Linked DNA regions of Drosophila melanogaster. The protein of the gene in region 2 purifies or fractionates together with the protein of the main gene of each other region. This does not show direct contact. Each region holds a gene or a part of one and is shown on either strand. Other genes may lie near its edges. The genes, in order: CG12321 and Ufd1.

Evidence for each region.
Region 1: the proteins of Ufd1 (region 2) and CG12321 purify together in Drosophila melanogaster (affinity purification with mass spectrometry, with the first as the bait; one large-scale study listed by BioGRID). This does not show direct contact.

The regions. Positions count from the first base shown.
Region 1 is NT_033777.3:18,187,305-18,190,564, forward strand, and holds CG12321 (uncharacterized protein), read right to left. Parts: upstream 1,404-3,260; 5' UTR 1,302-1,403; coding exon 558-1,301; 3' UTR 521-557; downstream 1-520. Other genes in the region: Arp5 (Actin-related protein 5), read left to right, coding at 1-520; MED17 (mediator complex subunit 17), read left to right, coding at 1,826-1,914, 1,986-3,260.
Region 2 is NT_037436.4:11,121,145-11,125,232, forward strand, and holds Ufd1 (ubiquitin fusion-degradation 1-like), read right to left. Parts: upstream 2,073-4,088; 5' UTR 1,905-2,072; coding exon 1,778-1,904; intron 1,721-1,777; coding exon 897-1,720; 3' UTR 838-896; downstream 1-837. Other genes in the region: mRpL2 (mitochondrial ribosomal protein L2), read left to right, coding at 1-262, 419-837.

The DNA.
Region 1 (3,260 bases), on a different chromosome or scaffold from region 2:
TAACGAAAAGTTGATGCAGTTCGATAAGATCCTAAATCACTATGATGCCAACACCGATGGCAACTCCAATGTTCCGCCACAGAGTGCCGCCGAGAACTACCAGCTGCACTTTGGGGTTGAGAACATTCGCGTGCCGGAGGTTCTATTCCAGCCCAGCATGATTGGTTGCTCAGAGGCGGGGCTAGCAGAACTAATAGCATTCGTGCTGAAGCTATTTCCCGCCGCTGAGCAGCAGCGCCTGGTTGAGCACGTGTACCTAACCGGCGGTTGTGCCCAATTCAAGGGTCTCAAGGAGCGACTAATCAAGGAGCTCATGGAAATGCGACCGTTTCAATCAAAGTTCGCCATCTACGAGTCGGATGAGCCAACTTTAAGCGCCTGGCTGGGAGCATGTGTGCACGCAGGAGAGCCCACCTTCGGTCAGACGCTGACCACGCGTCAGGACCACCAGGAGCATGGCAGAGAGTTCTTTCGGGAGCACACAGCTAGCAATATCTTTTATCCTACACCAAAAGATTAACATTTATTTGAAAGCACCGAAAAATACATGTAGACGCTTAAAAAAGAAGTTCCGTAACATCATTGCCGAATAGTAGGTTCCAGGACTTGGGCACGGTGAGCTTAAAACTGCCATCGCCTCCGTTGCGCAGCTGAAGGAAGTCTTCGCAGAGTTCGTTCAGTTCCCGGACGATTAGAGATGCATCGGTGGAGTTGTCGCCCTCGAGGAGATAGCGGAATAACAGCATGACGGGCACCTTCTGCTCATCGAAGGCTTTAAACAACTGCAAGGCATTGCCGCCGCCATAGATGGCATCGCCCTTGTGCTCCTTCCACTTGATCAGCTCCTCATTGCCCAGCTGGGCAGCATGCGCTTCCTTGAAGTTTTCGCTGGCGCGGTATGCCCATGGCGACTCCTCAATGACTCGTTTCTCGAAGCCGAAACTGCCGCTTAGAATGACTACGCGTCTGGCGCCCTTGAGGAGCTCCACTAGTTCCTTCTGAAAATGCGCGGTGTGGCGGGCAACCCATGGCGCCCGGAATTGCACGACCAGTAGCTTATCCTCCGTACCCTCGTACAGTTCGCAGGAGGAGACCTTCTCTTTGGGCTCGTGCTGATAGGCGGAGGGTCCGTAGACCGGAATCAGGGCTGGATGTGTGATGGATCCAATTCGCCGGAGTTCCTTGGACGCAATCAACAGGTCACAGGCCAGCTGCGCCGCGTTTCCCACGCAAATGCTCGGTATGATTACTGTGTGCTCTGCTACGTCCAGAGTGGTACGCTTGTCCTTTAGAAACAGCATAATTGGGTTAAATCTCTTGGTGTCCGGAATGAGTTGAAGATGCTAATTCAAGTCAAGTCAAAAATATGAAAGTAATGATTCCAGTGTTGGTGTGTTTACCAATTGACACTGGGTGGCAACTCTGGCAAGGAGCTTAATAAAAGTGCGGTTCAAAAATCAAAAGAGATAACTTCGTTGTTTAAGGTAAACAAATTTTATTTACATTTAAGGACATTTTTTTGACTGCTGCCTACTTATACTTCGCATATAAATGAATATAAGCACGTGGCCAAGCCATTAAATTTCAAAGTTTTGTCTTAAATAAATAAAACTTAATTTAAAGCAAGAAAGTAATTTTATAACACATATTAATTAAATATTAAACATTTTTAAATATCAATATTTTATACATTACATTCGTTACTAACCTGGAAAAAAGTGTTGTTTTTGAGCACTCATTTATCGATAGCCGGCCGCAGACGTTTTGCAGCACTATTCTTTAGTTTTGCTTTGACAAACCAAATGTTTTGTTTCCCGGCGCAAATATGTCGAATTCCGTGAATATATCAGTGGAAACGACTTGCGAGAACCAGATACGTGAGATTGGCTACGATGGCACCGAATTGTATCAGCCGTATGTGTTTCCGCTAGCCAGCAAGCCCTCTTCTCAATGATTTATTGGGTTCTTTGTTTTTTTCTCCTTAGGCCGCCGACTTTGTCGGAAAGTCTGGCGAAATGTGCGGCGCGCATAGACTTCAGCAAGACGTCGCTGGACGACCTCAAGAAGGAGGAGAAGTCGGCGGCAGCGGCCGCCGACGAGGACAAGGACGCCACTCAGTTCCAAGAGAGCCTGTGGCCCTGGGATGCGGTGCGCAACAAGCTGAAGGATGCGCTCACGGAGATATGTGTGCTGTCCGATGTGATCTCCATTGCCAAGGACAAGCGCTATTTAGTGCTCGATCCACTGCTCGAGGAGGCTGACGACACCAAGCCCATTGTGCAGGTGTACAGCCGCAAGAAAGCCATCTCTCAGGCAGCCCAAGTGCTCCTAAGTGGCGCTGAACGCCTGCGGAACGCGCACAGCGAGCAGCGCAATCGCAATGTCTCAGATTTCCACATAGAACTACTGCGCCTGCGACAGAACTGGCGCCTGAAGAAGGTGTCCAATGCGATTATCGGGGATCTCAGCTACCGCACCGCGGGCTCCAAGTTTGGCATGAGCGGTACCTTCGAGGTGACCAAAGCAGAAGAGACCGGTGATGAGGACACAGCCAGCTCATCCAACAGTAGCAGTAGCGTATCCGGCAACAATGGCATGCAACTTAAGGCCAGCTCCGCATTGCGAGTGATTGTTCCAGCGGAACTGCAGGGTGTCGCCTACATAAAGGTGATCACACAGAAGGATCAGGAGGATTTGTGCACCGCTCAGCTGAATCTGATGGGTCACGGACCCAATATAACTGCCCAGGTGGGTGTCTGGCAGAAGACACTGGAGTTCGCCCAGAATGTGCTCTTCTGCAAGGAGCTATTCGCTCAGTTGGCACGTGAAGCTATCCAATTGCAGGCACCAATTCCACATGTGGTCATCGGCAACCAAATTCGCGCCACTCTGCTGCCTAACATTCAACTTATTATCTCGTTGTGCCACTCAACCACCTTCGATTCCAGCCAGCCGGCGCCAATTAACGATCATGATCATGTTCTGGAACACTCGCTGCATCAGCTTCTGCGCGAGGTGCACTACAAGAACTCACACCATCCCTTTCCCCATCCGGCCAGTGCACCACTGGGACCCACTAAGAAGCGCATGCTAGCCGGTCCGATGGCCGCCGATCGGGAAACGTTGTTGGACATGACCAAGTCACAGACCATACTCGAACAGATCATCGCCCAGGCGCAGCACATTTTCATGCGAAAGCGAACACAATATGTGCTCGATACGCTGGCCAGGGATGTGAAGGACCCGCAGATAGTGTCGCA
Region 2 (4,088 bases):
CGGGATCCCGTCTCCGGTCGCTTGGTGGCCAAGGGCATTGGCGGAGGCATCAAACAGCAGTATCGCTGGGTTAAATGGGTGCGGGATGGTCCCACGGAGGGCGCCCAGGAGGAACTGGTACTCGAGGTGCTACGCGATGGCTGTCGCACCGCCAAAGTGGCCCTGGTTGCCGTCGGCGATGAGCTGAAGTACATCCTGGCCACCGAGAACATGAAGGCTGGCGATATCCTCAAGACCTCGCGCTTTATTCCTAGGATTCCGGGTAAATTTACTTACTGTTACTCATCGGGAGTATTAAACGTTTTCTAAGTAATCCTCTGAGTATAGTCTTAAACTGAGCATGGAATCTAGAAATTTTACTGGCTCTGAAACAACCAGTTATGCCAATATAATTTTTTTTTTTTGTATGATCCCATAGTGCGTCCCAACGAAGGCGATGCCTATCCATTGGGCGCCTTGCCCGTGGGCACACGCATTCACTGTCTGGAGAAGAACCCCGGCCAGATGTGCCACCTGATCCATGCCGCCGGCACCTTCGGCACCATTCTGCGCAAGTTCGACGAAAAGGTGGTGGTGCAGCTGCCCTCGAAGCGGGAGTTCGCCTTCCAGCGCACCTGCATGGCGACGGTTGGTCGCCTGTCCAACCCGGAACACAACAAGGAGCATGTGGGCAGTGCCCAGCGGATGCGGGAGATGGGCAATCGACCACGTTCCGGTCTGTGGAAGCGCAAGGAAGGCAAACACGGACGCAAGATACGCCGATTGCCGCCCATGACCACCATATCGCCACCGGCTCCGCCCAAGGAGGAGGCCATCAAGTTGACGCTGCCCCTGTGAGGTTTTTCCTTTAATTTCTATGTGTCACACAATATATAACTAGAACTAGAGATACAGAGCTATTTGCGCGTTTTCTTCATCGAGAAACCGGTGCCGTGGAAGCTCTCCGCATCGGAAGCGTCCGCATTGCCAGCTACGGCATCATCTTCTTGGCTTCTATCACTGATAGGCCGAATGTTGCGATCGAAACGGATGAGTCCAAACTGGAAATCATAGTCTGGAACGCCGCGGGCTAGCACCTTCTTAACGACCGGCGTTTCCAACTGGCTTTCCTTCTTCTTCTTACCATCGAGACGTACGCCGGAACCCTTGAAGGTCTCCACGACCTCTTCGAGTATGGCGTTGGTGGCTCCAGCGATTTCGCCGCCAACAGTTCCAGCAGCACCCTGCTGCCCAGAGCCCGATGCCTGCGTTTCGGAGTGATCCTTGTAGCCGACTGGCGCCTCAAATTCCACATTCATGTCGCACTCAATGATGCTGACTGCATTGCCGGGCTTTGTCTCCAGGACACACAGTTCGTAGACCTTCTTGTTGTACTTAATGGCTATGACATCGCCCCTGGTGAGGCAGGCAAAGTTGCGCAATGCATTCTCCAGCACCGCCTTGGGATTGGTGATGTCCAGGAAGTCGGTGCTGTGCGGTTGAAACTTTGAGAAGGTGGCCACCGGCAGCGAGACACTCTCGATGTTGAGTATGTCGCCCTCACCCAACAGCAGGTTTTCCATCATCCAGTGGGGTAGATAGCATTTGCCCTCGTCGGCCACAAACTCGAGTACGCCGGCATGCGAGGATCGCGATTTCTTGACGTTGGTCAGCTTGAACAGCATTGGATACTCGACATTCAGGCGGGTGAGCGTGTCCAGCGCCGAGGGAGGCATAATAACTGTGGATGGAATGTGTTGTTCACATAATTTCTGTCCAGCCTACACTCGTAACTCACTCTTTCCGCCCTTTTCCACGTCGGTTCGCTCGTTTCCTGGCAACATGGATACGGAGAAGCACTTGTAGTTGGCATGAAAATTGCGTCCCTCCGGGAACATCATGTTGAAGCCGCTGAAGTGGAACATTCTATGTGTGCTGGGCTCTCCGTGCCTATGGATTCTTTTCGATTTAAACTGCCTCAAATGACCCTTTATTTCTCAAAGGGGGGAGGCTAAAATTTTATCTTTTGTTTTATTTTTTTTTCTATTTTGTTTGTCACGGCGGGGGCAGTGTGACCAGAACACCATGTAGACGTAACTTTTTCGCCCACAGGTGGCAGCACTGTGTGGGGTTGCGGCACAAGCTAAGTTGTGGCACGCATATTTCGCTAAAATCCCAAGCGCGTGGCGTACAACAAAAAGTAGCAACTCGAGCTATCGCAGTGGCGAGTTATCGGCACATCTCTAACAAACCCAGCAAGCCGGTGGTTGCGCGCGACTTCGTCCCGCTTAAAAAAAAATTGAATAGACGGGTATATTGATTCGAAAAAGTGCTGCTGATCAAGTGAGTACCCATTTCGGGGCAGCAGCTCCAACTGTTTCCGCTACTCAAAATTGGCTGTCAGCAGCTGCGGTTTGCTGGTCAACTGCACCACTCGATCCTGGCGAGCTTTTTTGTGCGCGCGTGTGTGTGTGTGTGTGCAGGATATGCTGCCTGTATCCTTTTAGTCTGGCTGGCGCCGCGTGTTTTTCGCGTGGGTGTGATAAAAAAAAAGTGTGTATGTCGATGCCCACATGATTGCCAATACTTTTTTCGAACCAAACACACTAAGCAAAAGACCGAAACGAGCAACAAATGCAAAATGTTCGAATAGAAAAATCAATAAGCTGGCCAATCGATTGGTTGGTTTGTTCAAAGGCGGGGTGGTGGCCAAGTGGCTGGAAAAAGTGTTCTCCAGCTTCCAGGTCGAAAGATCTTTTACGACATACAGAAATACAGCAAAATGTATTGTTTTTGCCAAGTACAGTTACATTTTAAATTTTGCAAAACAGTTTGACAGCCACCGTTTTCGTGTGCAGCTGTTTTCGAGTCTCTGTTGTGGTTGTTATTGTTGCTTCGCAGCTGCAGCCACACCAAAAACAAGAACAACAACAGAAACACCGAACAGAAGGTGAAAAGAGCGAGAGGATGCGCACTCTCCCGCTCTCTTGTCTCTTCTGGCAGCTTCCAGACACTCCCCTCGCCATCATGCTCCCCACTTTCTTCGCCTTTCTTTCGCTCTCGCCCTAACTTCCCCACAACAAAGAGCCCCACCCCCCTCTATTGTGAAATTTACCCATCTTTTGTCTTTGTCATGTAAAACGTATTAAAATCGAGAGAATATGAAATTCCAGTGACTCACAAGCTGGCTTCAAATAATGAAGCCTAACTTAAGGCGTCAGTTGCATCCTTGCAAATTTTTGTAAATTCATTTAATAAGCGCTCTATGGCCCAACATATTCCAGTTTCCAAAAGTTTTTACTTATAAGTGGACTCACAACGATTTCTGTTTTTGATTTTAAAGATAACCTCTTTTCGAGAATCAAAATGTTGTTTATATTGCACTTCCGCTAAAAACTTAGTTTACTTTCTGTGTAAACTTATCAAAATTATTTATAAATATTTCTGGGAAAATCCACTTTTCGTTATCATGACACTTGCTTACGCTTTGCAAAGCTAAAGAAATATTGTGAAATGAAATCGCCTGCTCTTTTGAAAATTCAAATTAGAATACAATCGTTTATAGCCAAGTCGCACTGTGATGAGCAAAGTACTAAGGGTAGAAGAAAAACTCCGGCATCTTGTTGTGTACGTACAGTTTTTGCGTCTGGGAACTAAATTTAACAAGCGCACAGCCAACGAAATGGAGCAGCTTTTCCGATAAGCATTTAAACTTTAAAATAGCCCAACGACACAAGCAGCAAAATTCCCAAAAATCTGTGTATACGCATGCTGCAGAATTTCGAAGAAAAAAAAACATTTCGTTTTTCGTAATTTCCGAACATCAGATCTTTGCGCTTACGTCAAGCAAAGAAATTATACATTTTTTGTTTTCAGCACAACGTGATATCACGGCGTGGATTTCGTTTTGGATTGCTCTGGGTCATGAATGAGTTGGTTTGGGTTCAAAGTGGGCGGTGGGTGGCAGCAACCCCGCAAGGTCATAGCGTGTACACACTCGGCGCCGCACGGAGTGAGTGTGAGTGCAAAGTGGACCGATTCCCATTCCGATTCAATGCATCTTTCGCTCGGATGGCACCTGGTCAAGTGTCTCTCAAACTAAAGTTCTG